Canis lupus familiaris: one gene and its partner. The protein of the gene in region 2 interacts with the protein of the main gene of each other region in a biochemical or structural test. Links are inferred from orthologs where the notes say so. Each region holds a gene or a part of one and is shown on either strand. Other genes may lie near its edges.

The links.
Region 1: the proteins of CCNA1 (region 2) and MYBL2 form a complex in vitro, tested with the Homo sapiens proteins (2 studies listed by BioGRID, with this or other methods). The link is inferred for Canis lupus familiaris from reciprocal best matches to the Homo sapiens genes CCNA1 and MYBL2.

The regions. Positions count from the first base shown.
Region 1 is NC_049245.1:32,003,077-32,008,587, reverse strand, and holds the end of MYBL2 (myb-related protein B), read right to left. Parts: intron 5,198-5,511; coding exon 5,093-5,197; intron 3,783-5,092; coding exon 3,633-3,782; intron 2,815-3,632; coding exon 2,686-2,814; 3' UTR 2,277-2,685; downstream 1-2,276. UniProt on the Homo sapiens protein: Transcription factor involved in the regulation of cell survival, proliferation, and differentiation. Transactivates the expression of the CLU gene.
Region 2 is NC_049246.1:4,260,223-4,267,058, reverse strand, and holds the start of CCNA1 (cyclin-A1), read left to right. Parts: upstream 1-2,446; 5' UTR 2,447-2,518; intron 2,519-2,969; exon of another isoform or gene 2,970-3,224; intron 3,225-3,626; 5' UTR 3,627-3,650; coding exon 3,651-3,815; intron 3,816-6,346; coding exon 6,347-6,593; intron 6,594-6,779; coding exon 6,780-6,836. UniProt on the Homo sapiens protein: May be involved in the control of the cell cycle at the G1/S (start) and G2/M (mitosis) transitions. May primarily function in the control of the germline meiotic cell cycle and additionally in the control of mitotic cell cycle in some somatic cells.

The DNA.
Region 1 (5,511 bases), on a different chromosome or scaffold from region 2:
CGGCCATTCCCGCCTCCCTCGGCGGGCTCTCCCACAATCCTTCACGCGCTCATTAAGGGACTCCCATTGGCGAAGGGATGTCACGTGGCCTGCGCGGGGCGTGGCTTCCGGGAGCAGCGGTCCCGCTCTCCGCATCCCTCGTTTAGGGGCTGTTGCCGGGATCCTCGGGCGCGGGCTCTGCCTCCGCCCCCTCCGCTTCTTCTGCAGGCCGGGTTGGCCCGCAGATGCCAGGCCAGTCTGGATCTTGCCAGAACGCTCACCCTCTGCCGTCCTCACCGAGCCCCGCCTTTCCCGCCCACCGTCGTCTTCCGCGCCCCCTCCCATGAACTCCGGTGCTCAGCACCTCTGCACCTGGCTCGACCTGCTTGTCACACCTGCCCACGAAACACTGGGCCCCGGATCCACCTGGACGACCCAAGTTGCGGCCACTGGAGCACCGTGTGCCCCACACTCCGGGACCACACCGGCTGTCAGCACCGACTCTGGCGATCAGTACCCCCCACCCACTCGGGCTCTCTCTTGCTCCCCATGGTGGCCAGGGGCTGCGGCCAGCCTTCACTCAGGCCTCCGGAGAGCTTCCTCCTAGCAGGCCGCCTGGCCCCCATGCCATCCATTATTCCTTTCTCCCGAGCCCCTTACCTCTGGCATGTTGCATATGGATGTTGGCTTATAGCTTATCTGTCCTCTCTAGAATCTAAACCCTGTGAGCATAAAGTGGTTTGGGAGAGTCTTGGGGTTAATTCCTGTATCCTCAGCACCAGAACCACGCCAGGCACGGGGGGGGGGGGGGGGGGGGCATTCTTGATGCCTGTTCATTTAATGCAGGAAGCAGAGAACAGCTCCAGTGCAGAGTTCATGGGAGGTGGCAAGTTAACAGGTTTGCAGTTAGCAGGGCTGCCTCCCAAGGAGGACAGGAAAGAGCCTCAGGACAAGCTTTGGGTGTTGGTGGGAGAGGCAGTCTGGAGCAAGCTCTGGCAGAAAGCCTCTGGTGGGTTATAGGCCAGCTCACTGAGGTGCAGCCACTGACCACGTGCCTAGGAATCATCCGTAGGAGCCTATGATCAGCTCCAGGGTGAGTTGTCCCAGAGGCTTGCTGTACCCGACTTTAATGCTGGTGTTCTATAGACTGAGTTGTCTGTGAATCCTGGAGATGAAGATCCCCTGCTCCCCAACCCTCACTGGAATCAACCATCAATGCTGACAGCCCTGCAGGGAACAGTCAGTGATGGAGCCGGGGCCCTGCAGGTCACCAAGGGATAGAGGACAGGGGTCCAGGTCAGGAAATCAGCATAGGCACAAGGGCATGTGGCAGGTATGGCCCAGCTAGACTGAGACTGGCTCAGCTACACAAGCTGCAAGGAAGCAGAGTGGGAGCCCTAGTCCCTGGTCTCATTCCCAGGCCTTGGCTCTGGAGCAGGAACCAGAACTTAGCCAGGCTCAAACTGAGCACAACTTTGTGAAATGGCTCGAGGGCCACCCAGAGCAGGGGGTGAGGTGGGTCTCTGCCATGCTGACAGGACCCCCTGTGCAAGTTCAGCACGGCAGGGTTCACTAGACCTGAACCCTAGTGTCCTAACTCCCAGTCTTCTTTAGAGGGGGCTCCCAGCAAGAGGATCTGTCCCTAAGTGTCTCTCTTGGGAACCAGAGGCACTAAAGCAGAATCTAAAGATAGGCAAGTACCCATCCAGCCCCCAGACATGGCCACATGCCAAATGGCCCCCAGACATGGCCCCCCACATGCCAAATCCTATGAGCCCCCCCCCCCCGCTGAACACCTCCCTGTCTAGACCTTCTCAAACCTGGCACCTACCCCACTTCAGTGCCTAGCTTCAGCCAAGTGGCCCACTGCACCCTGACCAGGTGGACTGGAGCCCAAGGTCTGATTGCTGCCATGGCCTTGGCAAGTTGAGGCCACTGTGGTAAGTTCCGGCCAGCTGCCAGTCACTCCTTGTTTACCAGTCTCACCTGGTGTCTAGGCCTATGGCAGGCCAGGTCAGCCATCCATGGCCAAGCAGGGTCCTGATGCACCTTCCCCTCCCTGCTAACACCCAAGAATCCTCAGAACTTTGAGACAGCCACTAGGTGATCAAACTGCCCCCAGCACACTGGACCTTTTGGGGGAAAGTATGCAGAGCCCCAGCCCTGGGCTGTGCTCTGAGGATGAGGATCCAGATCTCCATATCCCTCAAGGCCCCTGTGACAGTCACCAGGGAACCAACCCAGCGACCAGGAAACCACAAGCAGGAGACAGGAGAAAGGTAGAGTCTACAACAGCATTAAGGAAAAAGGGAATTTTATTCTTTCAAGAAAATGTACTAACAGGTAGAGGGAAGGAGCATGCTGGCCACATCCCCTGTTCTAAGCAGGGGTCTGAGATGAGGCCAGACCCAAGAAGGGCTCAGGAGGAGCTAAGGGGACTCCCTGTGGCACCGGGGAGAGGACCAGGCAGGCCCAGGGGTGGGACTTTGTTCTGTTAGCACCAGGAACCACCGCAGCCACAGCTGGACTCGGAGACAAGGCAGTGGGTGGCCCTGCTCTGCCTCCACCTGAGCAGTCTGAGGAGGGGCTGGTGGCAGAAGGCTCCCTGCAGGTGGCCATCCGAGTATGATTCTCAGACTCACAGACCAACCTCAGTCCCCCCAGCCCCCTGTAAACATAAGAATGAGCTCGTGACCACCAAGCCCCTCAGGACAAGATGAGGGTCCGAGACGTGTGGCTGGGCTTCAAGCGACCCAGGAGCTGCCGGGCTTTCTCTTGCATGAAGAGCTGGTCCCTGGTCCCCCCGCAGGCCACCGTCTTCCAGGCGCTGGTCATCTGGGAGGAGGCAAGAGAGTTACCATCCAGGCAGGGGCAGCAAGCTCCCAGCAAATGCTGTGATGTGAGCATGGCCAGGAGGAGTAGGGGGCATTTCTACAACTCTCGGTCTTCTTCAAGCCACAAGTCTTCTTGTGGTCCCTCCAACTCCCTAGTGGCCCTGGAGAAGTGACTCCTGTTTCAGGGCTTCCTTAGGTATACAGCAAAGAGGTTGGACCGGCAACATGGCTGTGCCCCTGCCCATGTGGTGCCAGCCTCCTCACGAGGAAAAGTTACAGCCAAGCAGGCTAGTGGGAAGGAGCAGTAAGAAATTCATGAAATATAGACAATGAGGTATGAGCAGCCAGGGCAGCCCCTACCCCTGAGGACAGACATGTGCTAAGCAACTAAAAACGGAGACCATGACTTAATTACAAGTGAGGTGACACCATAAAAGGGCTCACAGGCGGGGGGGGGGGGGACGGGGGGGGACGGGGGGGACTCCTGGGTGCCTCAGCAGCTGGACATCTGCCTTCGGCTCAGGGTGTGATCCCAGGGTCCAGGGATCGTGTCCCACATCAGGCTCTCTGTGGGGAGCCTGCTTCTCCCTCTGCCTGTGTCTCTGCCTCTCTGTGTCTCATGAATGAATAAATAAAATCTTAAAAGGGGGGTAGAGGCTCTAGCAGATGGGATCCCTCCCCAAGGGGATCTGGAGCAGTGTCCAGACTGAGATCTGAAGTGTAAACTAGTCAAGCAGAGTCTCAGAAGGGCATCTGGGCACGGGCAACAAATAAGCAAAGTCCCCAAGGGTAATAGGACATTGGTGGCCAAGCACTCACAGGGGCAGGTGTTGGAAAGTGGCTTCGGGGCTTCTGGGCAGCCACTGGCTTCTCCGGTTTGGCCTGCAGGAAGCCCTCGTTGAGCAGACTGGTGTCCTCTTTGATGCCTGACACCATGAGGCTAGAGGAACTCGACAGGACATTTGTGGGCTGCAACAAAAACCAAGCCAGACTCACCCTTCTGCCATAAGCATGATGGGAAAGAAGGAAACCAGTCACATCCCAGCACCTCCACCTCTGGGCTATAGGATTTGGAGCAGGACAGTAACTTCTCTAAGCCTGTGCCCCCTTCCAGATGGGGAATTCTCTGTAAAGTGCCCGTTTCAGAGACTGACAACTAATAGATGCCCAGTAATGCTGCTCCCCTTTTACATGGACATGGTCTCTCCCACCACAGCCTCAGGCAGGGTGGGGGTGCTCTAGTTTCTCCTAGGACTAGAAATCTCTACAAGCAGTCAGATGCTGGCATCAACCAGCACACACATAGAGCTACACAAAGCACCCACCACCCATCCAGCCTCCCGGCTCTGCTTGACCTTTACCCTAAAGGTAAAGAGTCACTGGGCTCAGTACAGTGAAAGGCAAAGGCAAGAACCTGAGGTTTGGGTAAACTAAGAGATCCTAAAGAACAAGAGCCAGCATTAGGACTTTGCAAGGTCCACTCCACCCCAAATCCTGTGCTCTAAAGTACTTGCCAGAGCTTTACTACTGAGCAAGTATGTTACATGCCCAGTTGCAGGTCTGTTGCAGGTCTGGCTGCACAGCATGAAGTCCCCAGCCTGCTGGGGCTCCCTGCCCAGTGATGCTTCTCTGCGAGGGCTATGGCTGCAGCAGTCCTAAATCCTCAGATGTGCAGGATCTGATCAGGCAATCCTTTGTCTCATGCCTCCCACCACCCCTCTCACTGCCTCCCACTGGGCAAAACCCCCCACTGTCAGCTGGGAGGGATCAACAGTGTGGTGTGCTGTCCTGAGGGCAGGCTCTGTGTAGGCAACAGCCCCATTCCTGAGCTCAGCCTGGAACTAGACAGCACCGTTCCCAGGGCTGATGTGTCCCAACCACCTGGCCGTGCACATCACCAACCCTCTCCACATCACCCCCATGAGAATAGAATATGACAGAAGGTGCTGGGGACCCAGATCCATGGTTTTCCAATGTGTTCCAGCAATGCAACTCTAGCAACGCAATAAACCCTTCTGTGAAAGACACATGCACAGCTGCCTTGACTGAAACAAGGGGTGGGTGCCCAGCCCCAATTTCTCCATCAGCCCCTTACAGCTGAGCCTGACACCCAGAGCCCCATCCAAGAACCCCAGACCACTCCAGCGCCAGGGTCCCCTCACAGCTAAAGGGTTCCAAAGCCAGAGGACCTCCAGGGAGAGTCTATCCTCCCTGAGGCAGAGGTGCCTTCTGCAGTTCTGGGCAGGGGGAGCCAGGGCAGCTTCTCTCTGACCCCTTACCAAGGACAGCACCTTGGGCAGTGTAGACATCACCAGCTTCACATCCTCATCCACGATGTCCAGAGCCAGGGACTTGCGGACCTTCTTGATGGGGCTCCGCCGCAGCTAGGGGTGGGGAGGAGGGAGACAGAGCAGACAGCTGGGATTCCTCTAGGTCACCACTAGCACTTTGGGGATGCCTGCCCCAACTACCCTGGTCACAGGTCTATACCCTGATGCAGTGGAGCCTTCGAGCCAGGCCCCCAGCTGACGAGGTTTGGGGGAAGGGAGGGGTGGATGTATGCATGAGGACCAGAGGACCCTGGCCCCATCAGATTTAGCACCCAGGACAAACCATCCTGCCAGATGCAACCACAGGGAGCCAGGACACAAATGCCTCCACCCAGAGACCCACTCCTCATTCCCAAATGGATCATGCA
Region 2 (6,836 bases):
TTTTTTCAGCCTTATGCTGAAAATCAACTTGATTTCATACAAATTAATGAAAACTGAAATGTTTGAACAGGAGGTTAATTACTAGCTACCATGAGCAAATGTAATAGAAGTAATAACAGCTTCTGAAATGCCAGGTAATTACTGGCAAACAGAAAAGATTGTCTTTGAATTGTAATTTAGAGGGGAGAGGAAGTGATTTTAACAGGACCCTTGGGTTTTCAAAATTCCTAGTAAAGAATTCAGCTGTCATCCTCATTACGGAAATTAATCCCAGTGTCAAAGCTAGCTGAGTACGGAATATCAGGCAGAAGTGCCGACCCGTTGTTTTTAAGCTAAGAAAGTGTTATATCGGTAACTTTCCCCAAATATTTTAGACATTAAAGATTTATAATTAAATGTATGGTTCACTTCTCAATACCTTAACATGCAGAGATTTAAAATTGACCTTTGAGTTCTAATCCTGATTTTGCTGTAACAGCTAAATTAAACCTGTGCAGCTCACTAAAAGTGCACAGTCTATGAGAAAGTCTGTTCTATCCTCTCTGCTATTTTTCTAAATGATAAGGCTGTTTCTCGTTTAAATGTTTAATGAAAATTGTGCACCTATTTATCAGTTGTTTGTTTTTTATGACATACATCTTTACTTGTTCAAATACTTAAGAAAGCCATAATATTGCATGTTATACAAATATTTGGATTTATATGCATACACATAAACATATATATAAATATCAGTTCATCTGAATTACTCTCCAATTTAAGATCTGACCGGAGGACTGCAATGATTTAATACTTCTAAGATAGCACAGTAAAATAAGCCATTATCACTTTCCTTTGCCAAGTTTAACAAAGTGGAAGGAGAGGATAGTAAGATGTAGTGATAATATTTCATATGTATTAAGGGAAAAGAACTATGAAATGATGGTAGGATCTCATCTTGTTAAAAAAGTTATTTTCTTTTTTAAAGGTAGTTTTCAGACTCAAGACAGCTGAGTGAGACTATACACCTTAGTAGCCTGGTCTTCTCGTCCTGACTAGGTTAAGGTCGGAACACTGAACTTCAGCCGGCTGCCTCTGCTGCCTCTGCAGGAACCCAGGGCTACCCTTTCCCCTTCCCTGCTCAAGCTTCAAGCACAGAGAAGAGAACCAAAACCACAGGTGCAGTAACAAACATTGCACTAGCTCCTTTGTTTCGGAAGAAAGGCAGAGTGGGGTTTCCCATCATTTTTTTGTTGAGGAAACCAGATCAAAAAGGACGTAGTGGAATGTTGGGTCACATGAATGCAGAGAATTCTTGAACCTGCCAAGGCCACCAAGGCTCTAGGCCAGACTTGCTCCCTCCCTGATGGAGCTCACCACTTGAGGCCTTCATCGTCCTCAGAAGCCACAACAGTGTCGCCAGGTGGGGAGGGCTCTTGGAAGACTTCCAAAACCCCTGCCGGGCGAGTGCAGAAAGCTGCTTTTCTTCCATTAGGCAGAGGCACCCTGCGAAGCAGAGCTTTTGGTCGCTGCCTGCACCTGACTCCTCTGTTGCCAAAATCAGGATGTTACCGGGGACCCTGTGTTGCCTTCAATTTCAAAGGCACAGGAATTCCGGGGTGCAGGAGGACTGCTGCTCCCCACTGAGGTCAAGACGTGATAAACGTGATAAAAGTTAGTTTCATCCTAAGCAAGATCAATTTCTGTGCTCCTCCAGCACTTGGCACTGATTTCTAAGATGCTTGCCAACTTCCTTGACAGCTAACTGATCAGACGCTTTCATCGCACTTTCTGTAGAATACTTCCATTTTCCCATGAAATAACGGCATCCCAAGCTCACTAATGAAGAACACTTAAGATTTTGGGGGGGGGGGGGGTAAGATTGACAATCATTTCCATTCGGAATCAGGAAGAAGGCGGTAACTAACCATTCCTTAGAGTGGACATTTAAACGGCCTTTGGGGGTCTGCTTTAGAAACTTAGGAATGCGTGTTTTAAGAAGACTCAGAAAACAAAACGCAGAGCGCGCATGCAATGTATTGCGTGTGTACACACACATTCATGAAACCGTAACGACGATTATTTGACCACGAGGCCCTGCGCCGTCTGCGCACCCGGGGCCGCGGGGTCCCCCTGCTCACGAGGCCGGGCCGCCGCCAGGCCCCCACGGCCGCCGCCGCCCCCTCGACGACCCGGCCCGGCCCGGCCCGGCCCGGCGCTGCCGCCCGCGTTCCTTCCCCTTCCGGGCCCACCTCGCTGCCCCGGCCCGCTTCACGCCTCGCCCGCCGGAACCGTGCGGAGGCCTGTGGCGGCGGCGGCCTCCCACGCACTGCATCGCGCCGGCCAGGGGCGGCCTCGGGCGCACGAGGGCCCAGGATGGGCGGGGCCGAGGCGCCGCCGCCGACCGGGAGGCGCGGGCTCGGGGCGGGGGCCGCGGCGCGGCTGCTCGGCCGCCCTGGGGGCGCAGGTGTGAGCCGCGGCCGGGAGCGAGCGCGGCCTGCGCAGCCCCGAGGGCCCCGCGTCGCCCTCCTGAGCCAAGGTTCTCAGGAGCGGGCCGGGGGGCGGGGGGCGGGGGCCGGCGCCGGCGCCGGGGCCGGGGAGACGTTAGGGCTGTTGGGGGAACCGGCCCGGGGGAGCCCCTTCCAGAGCCCGGGCCGTCGCGGGGCGGCCGCCTCCCTCCCCGCCCGGCGGCGGCCTCCAGGAGCGCGCGTGTGCCGACGGCGCCCCCCTGCCCCGCCCCGCCCCGCCCCGCCCCGCCCCGCGCAGGGGGAGCCGGGGCCGCCGCCCGTTGGCCCCGCCCGGCCCTGAGCCCCCGGGGGCGCGGCGCCGCGGCCCGCAGCGCGTCGGGTGAGGGGGTCGTCATGGCGAGGCGGCCCCGGGGCGCGCCCGCCCGCTGCGGTTGGCATGGAAGCGGCCCCGCGAGGCCTGGCCGCGCCGCCGATTGGCGGGTTCAACAGACGCGGGGGAGGTGATTAGCTGAGCGCCGCGGCCACCGCCGCTGGGAGCCCGGCGCCCCCGCTGGCACGTGTCGGCGCCGCGTCCCCGCCCCCTCCGGCGGCCCCGCAGCCCCGGCCCTCGTGTGCACTTGCTAATTGTCGGAGACTCATGTAAAGACGCCAAGCGGAGGGGAGCGAGGCCCGCGGTAGTTCCAGTCGGGGGTTGGGGCCTTGTGTCTGGTGGAAGGAGGGCCGCGGAGGAGGACCCTGCTTGTCATTTGGGAAGGGGACGTACCTTCCCGCAGTGATGTATACACCGGGTCTTTTGTTTGCAAGGAGGTGGGGGGGGGGGCGGGTAGAAAGGATGAGAGAAGCACCGCCGCGGTGGGCGAAGACTCGGGCTTGTAGCTGTAGGCTCCCCAGTGAACGCCGGACTCCGTATCCTTGCTTGGAGGTTGTCAAGATTAATCTCTTCCTCCAGCCTCAGTCAGGTCTTAGAAGAAAGCCTTGAGAGATTCAAATCGCTGTTTGGGTTCAAAGGCGCTTGGATCCCTTGCAGCGTGGCTCTTGCCCTTCCTTTCAGCAGTAACAATTGCAGAGAAGATGATACGCTTTAGTGTTCTCCCTCCTAGACATTCATTGCATGCTTGGAGCCCATGATGGAAGAGCGTGGACTAACCATTGGGTTGTCTCTTTTTCCTTACCTAATAGTTGCATTCTGTGGCGACGGAGGGTATGCATCGCAGCAGCTCCAAGAGTGGAGTAGCCCTAGCTCCGGTGTCTCGAGGTCCCGATGCCTGTCAGATGATAACCAGAGCCCAACTCGGCCAGGATCCCCCGCAAAGAACAGTGCTAGGGGTGCTAACTGAGAATGGGCAGTACGGGAGGACCTGTGGCCAGGTAATGAGTGACAAGGGCCATCACGTCATGGTAGGAGGTGGGTTTCTCTTGGAGTCGGACCTAGAATACCCTGGAGTATTGCAGCCCTGGAATCTGGACTGTAGGGACACTGACTTTGGTCCCCTTTTTCAGCTAGAAAGAGTGAATAATTTATTATTTTTCCAATAATATCAAGGAAACAGGTCTAGGAACTATTTGAATTAAGTACATGTAAAGCCATGTAAGTGCTGGGCCAAGAGCAAGTGTTAACACACCAAAATAAACTATGGAACTGGGGGTTCCTCCAGAGCAGAGTGGCGTTCAGACTGATCTAGACTGTGCCTGAAGCAAACCTGAATTTGCTATGCTTTACTATGTTCGTTGCAAGTGGTGTTAGACTACAGATTGGGTACGGCTAGATGAAATTACTTCTGAAAGTGTGTTTTGAAAGTAGACATCTCCCCAGTCCGTGAAAAAAGGCAGGTGGGCAAATGGATAATAGATATTAGTTGCTTTTGCTGGACTCATCATAGGTAGGTGAATAGACTCCCTGAATAGATTAGAAACAAAATCAGACACCTAAAATGCAAAACAAGGGATTTGGATCCTTAAGACTGAATTTTGGGGTAGAAAAAAGTTTCCCTTAGTCTGTTATTAGGCCGCTCAGAATGATGCCTTAAGCTTATATTTTACACCTGTAATGGAATCATGCTGGCAATAGTCTAGTGAAGTAGGTAGGTCAAGAATTCTTCCCATTTAATAGGTAAGAAAATTTCAAAGATTTAAGAAAGGTCAGAAAGAAAGAAAGAAAGAAAGAAAAAAAAAAAGGGTAGAGGCCAGATTAGAGCCCTTCATCCACTGACCACTCAAGGTATCTGCCTTTTGGTGGCATCTGATCAGTGGAGAGAAAAATACCCAAAGTGATCTCTTCAAAGCTTTCGGAGGAGGGGGGTGAAATTAAGTGAAAGTGGTTTTAACAAACTTAATTTGCTTAGCAATATTTACTTTTTTAAAACGGAAAATCTGAAACCTGGTTCTTACGAATCATCAGTTCTGCCCAGTGAGCCCGGGCTTAACTTAAATTCAGAACTATTAGTTAACCTTTTATGTTGCCTAGCACTACTTCTCCATTCCCCTGCTCTATTCCTTTACCAACTTCTCAGAAATCTGTTTTATAGATTTCTTTTTAATCCTCCCAAACCTCTACCTTCCTTCCTTACTCTCAGTTGATGGCCTTGTGATCCTGTTATCTTAAAAATATAAAAGGAACCAAAAGGGAATTTCTGCACGTTCCCACGTGCCATATACCCTACCATCCCCACCCTGCTACATGACTTACACTTCCCTGCTCTCAGGCAGGGTGACTCTCACACATGTAGTATACCTCATGTCCTCTTGCTTCTTCAGGGATGTTGAGAACTCTCCTTTCTCAGCCTTGTCTACTGGTCAAACTCATAAGCATATAAATATATTGTATTCTTTTTCCATCTTTAAAACCTTTAAACTACAAAGCAGTGACTGTTCATTTTACAGCCAATAATTCGAGAGTTTATCCTGCTAGATCATAAACTCCCATCAGGATGAGGATTGGGATTTGAGGCTCACTGCTGTATTCTCAGTGCTTCGAACAGTGTTTGGCCAGGGTAGCTTGTGAAGATTTGTTGAGCGAATACTCTCTTGTCTTTAATTCTTCTCTTATTCTCTTTTGACTCCTTTTTTTTGTCCATTCCTTACTTGACTAATCCAGCAGCCTTTGACACATTTGATTATTCTTTATTCCTTGAAATCCTTTCTTCTCGCTCGGCCTGGAGAACCATACTCTCTTGGTTTTCCACCTTGCTCATTGGCCACTCTTCCTCAATATCTAAAAGAGTGCTCCAGGACTTGGTATTTGATCTGAATATGCACTCACTCCCTTTCAAACTTTCAAGCCTCTTAGCATTAAATACCATCTACCTGTGCTCATACTTTTATCTCTGATAGATTTCCTCAAGGGACATTATGTCATACAAGAGATTCTATGGCTTTGTAAGAGAAGTTAATGGTAGGAGTTTCTAAAACAATCATGTTTCTAAATATCTGAGTATAAAATGGAAACTTTATAGGCACTTACTTACTGAAAGCTGTTTAAGGAGGAAGACTGTAGGAACTCAGTGACTATATATCAAGAGGTACTTATAAAATCCTATAGGCTAGAAGTATGAAAGCCAATTAACAATCTCCCTCTACCCACTCACCCATGCAATACCTATCCTCATTTTGGAGGATAGCTATGGTTTCTTTTTTTTTCTATAATCTTGAGTTTCCTTTGATAGATATATGAGGAAGATGACAAATTATAGGTAGCTCTTTTCCCAAATGTTAGATGTAGATAAAGATAAGGGAGAAGTCATATTTCAGAAGCTTCATTTTCTGAAATTAAATTGCAGACCTAGATATTTCAATTTAAGCCTGTTCGCATCTTTCTGGCTTGCTGGCTTGGGTCACACAAGCTCATATCACCTATACTATCTTCAGGGTGGCCTCTCACAAAAAACTTAATCCTCTTCCAGGGGATCACAACAATCCGGTGCTTCTCTGGATCAGAAAATGTCGTCCCTCCAGCTGGAAAGAAAGTGTTCTCTGACTGCAGGGTCCAGGTGCCAGCCAAACAAGGATTTCATATCTACATGGATGAGGCTGAGCAAGGAGACAGAGACAGCTGCACTGGGAGAGAGGGGATGGCATTTGAGGATGTGTGTGGGGTAGACACCAGCACACTCAAGTCAGACCTTCACTTCCTGCTGGATTTCAACACAGGTAATCCGACTCACCTATGGCTGGTGGTACTCTGTACTCATAATCGCCTGCAGCATTCAATAGCATGTAACTAGCAGGAGAAAACCATGAAGTAATGCCTTATTTTCACAATTGCCTGTGGAGGGTTAGTGAATGCAATGAATTTTTAAACTGAATGTCTTACCTGATAATGTTGAACCCCTGCAGTTTCCCCTATGCTGGTAGATTCATCTCTCCATTCCCAGTCTGAAGATGCATCAGATT